2 linked regions of the Coturnix japonica genome follow. The protein of the gene in region 1 binds, or shares a complex with, the protein of each later gene. Links are inferred from orthologs where the notes say so. Each region holds a gene or a part of one and is shown in the gene's direction. Other genes may lie near its edges.

The links.
Region 2: the proteins of TNNC1 (region 1) and TNNT2 are in contact, whole or in part, in a crystal structure (PDB 1J1D), measured with the Homo sapiens proteins. The link is inferred for Coturnix japonica from reciprocal best matches to the Homo sapiens genes TNNC1 and TNNT2. Residues at the interface, in NP_003271.1 of Homo sapiens: Asp99, Phe101, Arg102, Asp105, Ala108, Asp109, Gly110, Tyr111, Arg147, Tyr150, Asp151; in NP_001263274.1 of Homo sapiens: Gln266, Tyr269, Asn272, Val273, Asn276, Arg277, Asp280.

The regions. Positions count from the first base shown.
Region 1 is NC_029527.1:240,470-244,870, reverse strand, and holds the start of TNNC1 (troponin C, slow skeletal and cardiac muscles), read left to right. Parts: upstream 1-1,314; 5' UTR 1,315-1,396; coding exon 1,397-1,420; intron 1,421-4,399; coding exon 4,400-4,401. UniProt on the Homo sapiens protein: Troponin is the central regulatory protein of striated muscle contraction. Tn consists of three components: Tn-I which is the inhibitor of actomyosin ATPase, Tn-T which contains the binding site for tropomyosin and Tn-C.
Region 2 is NC_029541.1:1,182,215-1,186,017, forward strand, and holds part of TNNT2 (troponin T, cardiac muscle), read left to right. Parts: intron 1-133; coding exon 134-163; intron 164-828; coding exon 829-885; intron 886-1,006; coding exon 1,007-1,039; intron 1,040-1,486; coding exon 1,487-1,522; intron 1,523-1,770; coding exon 1,771-1,792; intron 1,793-2,116; coding exon 2,117-2,177; intron 2,178-2,282; coding exon 2,283-2,399; intron 2,400-2,657; coding exon 2,658-2,735; intron 2,736-2,883; coding exon 2,884-2,994; intron 2,995-3,217; coding exon 3,218-3,327; intron 3,328-3,609; coding exon 3,610-3,700; intron 3,701-3,803. UniProt on the Homo sapiens protein: Troponin T is the tropomyosin-binding subunit of troponin, the thin filament regulatory complex which confers calcium-sensitivity to striated muscle actomyosin ATPase activity.

The DNA.
Region 1 (4,401 bases):
TCAGCCAGTAAAAGCAGTGCAGCACAGTAATGCGGTGCAGCACAGTAATGCGGTGCAGCACAGTAAAGCAGTGCAGCACAGTAATGCGGTGCAGCACAGTTAATTGACGGATGCAGCACAGGAAAAGCGGTGCAAGGCACGAGCTAATTGCTCGGATGCAAGCACAGTAATGCGGTGCAGCACAGTTAAAGCGGTGCGCAGCACAGTAAAGCGAAAGTGCAGCATCAGTAATGCGGTGCAGCACAGTAATGCGGTGGCAGCACAGTAATGCGGTGCAGCACAGTAAGCGGTGCAGCACAGTAAAGCGGTGCAGCACAGTAATGCGGTGCAGCACAGTAATGCGGTGCAGCACAGTAATGCAACACGGCGCCGTGCTGAGCAGTACGGAGCCGTGCAGTGTAGTGCTAACGCAGCACTGTGCAGTGTAGTACTGAGCCGTGCAGTGCAGCGCTGTGCAGGCTACATGGGCACCAAGTTTCTGGGCGCTGGTGCTGTCAGCCGGGCTGCGGGGATGCAGCGGCCTTTGTGCCCCCGCTGTGTCACCGAAGCACTGAACAATCCCCGTCCCAAAGGTCGGCGCAGCCCGGCGGTGCCCGCAGACATTGCAGACATTGCTCCATTGCAGCCTCTGCTGCACATCATTGGGCGGGTGCACAAACCCACCGTGGCTCCGGCCGCCGCTGCCGGGTGCTCAGCGGGTTCGGCCAAATTCCGGCTCGCAGCCTGATTTCTTCAGCCGACAATGGCTTTTATTTGCGGAGTTGAAGCCCAGAGCTGCCCCCATCCGTGCGGCTGTGCTGCCAGCAACACCGAGTCCACCAGAGGGAGCGCTGCACCCCCAGGAGCGCTGCCCGCCCGCGCCGCTCCGGTGTTGGTGCATCTCCCTGCCCCGAACAGCCGCTTGTCGCTGGGGTCGAAGCGCCGCCGGCTCCGATCGTGGGCTGCTCCATCCGCGCGGGGCCGGGCCGCAACTCGCCGCTTCCAGGAGGACGGGAATCCAGCCCAGCGAGCAGCGCCTGGCAGCAACCCGGAGCCGTTCGCAGCCCCGGCCGGACCCTCAATGCTCGGGGGATGCTCCCGGTTGGATGCTCCCGGTTTGCCCCTGCCCGGTGCCGCGCGTTTCCCCCGGCTCCTCCAACTTCGTGGTCCCCGACCCCCGGGGCAGCGGTCGGGCTCCGTCTGACCTGCGTTATTCAGCGCGGCCAAGCGGCCCGTGGCGATGCGGCACGGTGCCACGCAGCCCGGGCACGCGGCGAGGCGCTGTGCGGGGCCGGGCCGTGGTGGGCTGGCGCATCCCGTCACCGGCCGCTGCCCCCTATATCAGTGGGGCCGGCGGGGCGGCGGCGGCACAGCGTGTCAGTGACGCCCCCCGGCCCTTCGCTCTCCCTGCCCAGACATGGATGACATCTATAAGGCGGCGGTGAGTGCCCGCCCGGGGCCGGGATGCTGGGGAGGAAGGGGACGAGGAGCTGCCGGCACCGGGGCCGGGTTACGGGACGCCGGCGGGCGGCTCGGCTGGAGTCGAGTCCCCTCGTCTGCGTGAACGTCCCGGCGCTGCCGTGTCCGAACACGGCGGGGTGGAAGCGGCGGCTGCCGGCTGCGGGCACATCCCGGCACGGCACCGCGTCCCACGGAGCGAACGTGATTCGCGTGGGTTACAGAATGATTGATTTGCACGGCTGAAAGGGGATTAGCGAGAGTTCAACCTCACCCTGTCGCTACCGGAGCTTTAAAATCATAAGCGCCGTTGCTTAAATCCCCCCTTCCTCAGCTGAGTGTTTTTCGATGAGACTTTTCAACTCTCTGCTTTGTGCCGTGTTTCTGCCTGGTCCCTCCGCTGCCCGCAGGAATCCGGGCTGGGACTCGGGCTCTCTGGGAATGCGGAGCATCCGGCAGCTGCGCGCAGCGCTGCCCCGCGCACCCGGAACGCTCCGGTCCATAATAAGCTCAGCGCATCATTCTGTAATTTAGACAGAGCGATATGCGGGTGTGATGGGGATGGAAATAGATTCTGTGTGAATCGCTGCTGTGTGCCCGGAGTTAAAATACACCGTAAGAACTGAAGGGTGACTCTTTTTAGTTGTTTTTAACATAGAGTTGACCGGGTTGAAAAATACGTCCTGCAATGACAACTCCAAGAGGTTCAGAGGGAATAAAGGACTTTGCTTAGTTAAACAAAATGGAGGGAAACGAGATGTTGGCAGCTCTCCCTGTTCCCTGGTCAGCCCTTATAGCTGTGACCCCTCCCGGGATCCGGACAACATGTGAGGGATGGGCTGGGAAGCGCATGACGACGTGCTGAGTGCCCCGAGGAGCATGAGGAAGGGACAAGAGTGCGCCCTGTAAGATCAGTGGAAATCCAGCCCGTATAATGAAGCTTTTTAGCTAGTTATGTTCCCTCATGGAGCAGGTCCTTGCTGTACTGTTTAGGGACTTCATGCATTAATTATGAAGAAAGCCTGGGGTGCCTTTCCACCCCAAAGTGAGCAAAAATCCACAGTGAAGGTCATCTCTAGCTGAAGCCTGTAGGTTTCAACCCGAGCCTCCTCCATCTGATAGCCCAAGCAGTGTCCTTGACCTGAGGAATAAGTTGGTGGGCTCTGACAGGGAGCTGCCAGCGCAAAAGCAAAAGGAGAAGAGGCAGAACATGGCTGTAATTGATAGCTGCTTCATGAGTCTGTTCCCGAGATTTTAACTGTAGGAAAATATCTGGCAAAATAAATAAATAAGATCTGAAACTTTTCGTGCCTGACTTCAAATGGAAATATGGGATGGAGAAAAGAGCAGAAAAAGCAAAATCCTGTGTGCTGGGTGTCTGCCTTCCCAGAGCGCAGCAGGACAAACCATTCCCAGGCTGGAGGCAGAGGAGAAAAAAGGAGAAAGCTGTGAACTGTGTCTGTGACCAGGGGCACAATAAACAGCTTGGGAAAAGCCGTGTAGTAAAAGCATCGCTGTGTGGTTCGGTTCCATCCAGCACAGCTCCACATCCATAGTGCTGTACAAAGCCAACATGCAGTAGTTAGAAAAGCCTTGGAAGTAAGGATTTGTTATTTGCTGCGTATATTGATGGCAGCAAACCTACAGGGGTATATACCAACATTATATCCATGTCGAATTCCCTCGGTGCAGCCGCAGAACCCAGTGGGCCTTTGTCTCACCCACTCATGTCTAGATAAGGGTGTGCAGGCACAAAGCTATTTCAGGAGCATTTTTCAGTTCTGTTGAGCGGTGCAGAGTGTTGCCAGGGACAAGTGTCAGAATAACAGGCTGCGGGGCCGCATACCAAAGGCCTGGGAACAATCACAGGGCTCATCTTTATCTCCGGCACCTCCCTCATCAGGGCTTATTAATAGCGAACGCTGCCAGGGGGTCAGGTTACCCAATGGACTGTGGCCATCGGCTGAGCTGCCCAAATGATGCCTGCTCAGGGCTTGGGGTTCTTCCTGCTGCTTTTGCTTCTCACCCCACAAAGGCTCCACAGGGAGCTCAGTGCTGCTCCCTTCCCAGTTCCTGCTAAGATAAAGCACTTTCCCTGCTTTCCAAGTTGTTGTTTGCCAAATCACTGCTTTTTGGGTGGAAAACCATCGGCCTCGCCTCCAAGACAGAGTACTGCTGGGCTGAGGGGTTCTGCTTCAACCCAAACACGGTGGGAGTGGGTGTGGGGGTGTCAGAGACAGCGTGGGAGGAGCATGTAATTGTAAGGGATGTTACTGAAGGGACAGGTGGATGCAGCGCTGGGGCACTGACAAAGCCCATGGCATGGCGGTGTGCTCCAAGGGGATCCGAAAGAAATTCACTCCAGGAGGTTCTGGTGGATTCCTCTTTGCTCTCCTCATCAATTGTCATTAATTGCTGCTAATTGATAAGCTCCCACCGGTGGATGGCAGGGGTAGGAGTGGGTAGATGAGCTGGGTAGGACTTGGGAGCAGTCTGCCAGCTCAACTCATCCAGCTCTGGGCGGCTGCAGGGACCATTTCTTCCAGCTGCTCCCATCTGCCTCAGTTTGCTTCCAGTTCCAGTGCCCAGGTTCAGGGAATGACGGTGACTGCAGCCTGCTGCTCCTCATGCACCATAACCTGTCTGTGGCATGTCCCCATTGCACTGAGGTGATACACTGACCAAAGAATTTACATGAATATTCAGGGTGAAGGAAAACAGGATGAGGGGAATAGAGGCAGAACCTTATAAGAGCAAATTCTGATTTTGGTAGCCAAGACCTTGATGCTTATGATTGTTTATTGAATCTGGGGCTGAAAACAACTGGGGATGGTCTTGGCCATGGCACAAAGATGTCCCTCCTCTGACCAGGTCCCAGCCTGTGAGAGAGCAGCTCTTGGAGGGTTAGCAATGAGTGGCAATGAGGAATTAAAATGGATTGCTCTCTGTCTTTCACTTACAGGT
Region 2 (3,803 bases), on another chromosome or scaffold:
TGCCACACAGCAACACATCCTGAGAGCTAAAAGGGTCAGAGTCCTCACCTCATGCACACCGGAGCTCTGCCCCACAGCTTTAAGGCACCTGACTAACCTCTGCGCTTCTTCCCTTCCCTCCTCCCTGGCTCAGAAGAGGAAGAATGGCTTGAGGAAGAAGACGGTAGTTACTACACCTTTCTTTGTTTCCTATCCACCTCTGCTGTGAATGTATCGTGGGTCGGTGTGTCCTGTGCCTTTCCATGGTTGGGAAATGGATTTCTTTCCTTCTTTCACTTCTCTGCTGCTTTTTGCACTCTCTCCATCCTACTGTGCCGACCTGCTCTCATTTCTGTCTTCCATCCCAACATACCCATGGGTTGCTCTCTTCTTTTCCTTTCTTCCTCTCTTGCTGTGGGACCACACCTGTCCCACAGGACCTGTGGGCTCTGACGGAGGACTCTCGTGGGGGTACTGCTCCCTCCAGTGGAAAAATGCTCCAACAGTGTCATGCATGAGGTTTCTGCCATACAGTTTCCTTCTTTGCTGCATGGAGGAGAGCAACAGAAGTCCATCTCCTCAGCTCTGGCATCTCAGGGCACAGCTGGGGAGGGAAACAAGGGGCAAAACCAGGAGGGGGATCTGAGCCCTTGGATTTTATCCCCCCTCATCCATGCCTTACCTTTGGGTAAGGGCCTGAATAAAGCCCTTTACTTTCTGCTTCTTTCTCACATAGCTCCCCCTCCTTTGGGTCTCCTGGACTCAGTGCCATGGTTGTCCCATTCTGGGGGTCTGTAGGGAGCCAGCAGGAGCTGTGGCCATTCCACTGACCCTGTCCTTGTTGCACAGGTCAGGAGGACCAGGTAGAGGAGGAGGAAGGGGAGACAGAAGAAACCACAGCAGAAGGTGTGTGGTCTGTGTCCCAGTGCTGTCACACCTGGTGGCCACAATACAGAGTGTAAGAGACGTGTAGTGGTCCTCACCTGTGGATGCTCTGGTCACACTTTCCCCCTTACTTTTGAGACAGAACAAGAAGATGAAACAAAAGCACCGGGAGAAGGTAAAGCAAGAGCGGAGGAAAGACATTTTTTGGTCATTTCAGTCTCCTATATCACCATCTCCATGCCATGGGGTTTTCAGTACTGAATTTTGAATTCAGCTGCTGCTGAAAGGAGCCAATCTGCAGTAAATGGGGCAGAGCTACCCTGGCCCCATCCTCTAGCAGGGCAGGGGCAGTAGGAGACCTCCAGGAGGGATGTATTCATGCTGCTTAGGTAAGAAATTCACCCCGGGAAATGGAACAAGAAGGCAGCGCTGGTGCCTTCCCAGCCTGAACTCCTGCAAAGATCATATGGGCTCCCCTTGGAGAGGACCTGGGGTTCTCCCCATCCACCTGGGGGTGAGGGACCTGCCCTCCCTGTATCCATCCTGGGCTTTGTGGTGGGGACAAACAGTGCTGGGGGAGCCTTATGATCCCTCCATGGCCAACACATCCCGTATTCCACAGGTGGTGAGGGGGACCGGGAGCAGGAGCCTGGGGAAGGTGAGGCATCCATCCCTGCTTCCCTTTGGGGTAGGAGGCACTGTCCCTTCACAGTACATACCCTGAATGGCCAGAGCATCAATGCATGTCTCAGATGCTGGCACACAGATGGACACCTCACTGTGTTGCTTTGGTGGAAGAAGATGTGCCTGTGCTGCTGGGAGGAAGGAGTGGCTGGGTTTCATGGGGTTTGGGGTCAAAGTATGCCACTAACAATGCCTTTCTCTCCTGTTTCTGGGGACCCACAGGTGAATCAAAGCCCAAACCCAAGTAAGTGTTGGTGCATTTTCTTTGTTGTAAGGTTTGAACTAGGAGGTGTTCCTCTATGGCTCTCATTGTAGCTTCGTGCCACAGTGAGATCCATAAGGGACATGGGACAGCAAAGCCCTAAAAGCATGAAAGCGGGGCAGGGACTAAAACATGGAGTGAAGAGAGAAAAGCAGACAGAAAAACATGGGATTCTTCCCTGTCCTCCACAAGCACTCATCTCTGTGTGCTGTGGGGCTCAAAGAGGAGGGCTGGGCAGAGCAGTGTATGCGTGGGAGCCCTGCCCCATTCCAGCAACCTGCTCCCAACCTCCCACTCACCTTTCAGGCCCTTCATGCCCAACCTGGTGCCTCCTAAAATCCCCGATGGCGAGCGCCTGGATTTCGATGTGAGTGCATCTAACAGCAGTATCGCGGTGTTGCTGCATCCAGCAGCTCTCAGAGGGTTTCAGTGTTGTGAGCACAGCCATCATCTTCATTTCTTTCTGGTACAGGACATCCATCGCAAGCGCATGGAGAAGGACCTGAATGAGCTGCAGGCCCTCATTGAAGCCCATTTTGAGAGCAGGAAGAAGGAAGAAGAGGAGCTCATCTCTCTCAAAGACAGGATTGTATGTGGGCAGTCCATCCTCTCCGTGGGCAAACAGCCACAATGCTCTCCACATCAGGATATACCATGTCCCTGCCAGAGAATGATTGGGATTTGAACCTATTTTGGTGCCCAGGGGTTGGGAATCTGCTGTAATAGCCATTCCATATGGAGATGTGGGAGCATAAAACCTGTCCCTGGGGCTTTTGGGTCATTAGGGGTCTCAAAGAACAAAGGGAATGTCCTGAGACATCCCAACCACGGTCTTCTCTCTCTGCAGGAGCAGCGGAGGGCAGAGAGGGCAGAGCAGCAGCGCATCCGCAGTGAGAGGGAGAAGGAGCGCCAGGCCCGCATGGCTGTGAGTACCCTCAGGGCTGGGGGCTCCCTGCAGCACATTGCCCACCACCACCACTCCACACAATCCCATCCATGGGGCACACAGGCACACGAACTGTGCACGTTGCTCCACAAGGTCTCCACTCCTGACCCGCTCTTATCCCTGGCAGGAGGAAAGAGCTCGCAAAGAGGAAGAGGAGGCACGGAAGAAGGCTGAGGAAGAAGCAAGGAAAAAGAAAGCTTTCTCCAACATGCTGCATTTCGGAGGCTACATGCAGAAGGTGTGAGCCTGTACATGGGGTTGCAGTTGCAGGGGGGTTAGACCACAAGCAGGTCCTACAGGATCACATGGTGCTGCAGAGAGGGGTTCCTATGAGCTGGAGAGGACAGGAACGTGCTGGGGGCATCCCAAAAGCAAAGGGTGCTGCTGGGAGGAAGAGCTGGGGATGGGAGCTGAGGCCGGGCAGGTTCCTTCCCTCTGATGGGCTCCAATTGTTTGTGCAGTCAGAGAAAAAGGGTGGCAAGAAGCAAACGGAGCGGGAGAAGAAGAAAAAGATCCTCAGCGAGCGGCGGAAGCCCCTGAACATCGACCACCTCAATGAAGACAAGCTGAGGTAGGTGTCACGGGTTAACAAAACCATGACAGGTAGGGATGCTGCAGGAGGAGCGAACGGGGATGTGCCATATCCGTGGCTGTGCCTGGCTGCGGGTGACAGCGGCGGCCATCAGAGGGAGCCACGCTCACAGACGTGGGACACGCGTGTCCCCACAGCGAGACACACACGTGGGACTGCCCAGCAACACCCGTGGATGGTTCCTGCCTCGGAGGGGCTGGCGTTGCTGCCCCGTCCCTTTCATCCCTCTTCCACACTGACATCATCCATCTGTTCCCATAGGGACAAAGCCAAGGAGCTGTGGCAAACCATCCGTGACCTGGAGGCTGAGAAATTTGACTTGCAGGAGAAGTTCAAGCGGCAGAAGTACGAGGTGAGCTGCCAGCTCCTCACTGCTGGCTCTCCCTGGCTGCTTCTCCAGCTCCTGATATGGGAGAGCTGCAGGCTGGATGCACACTGTGCTGCATTAGAAGGGA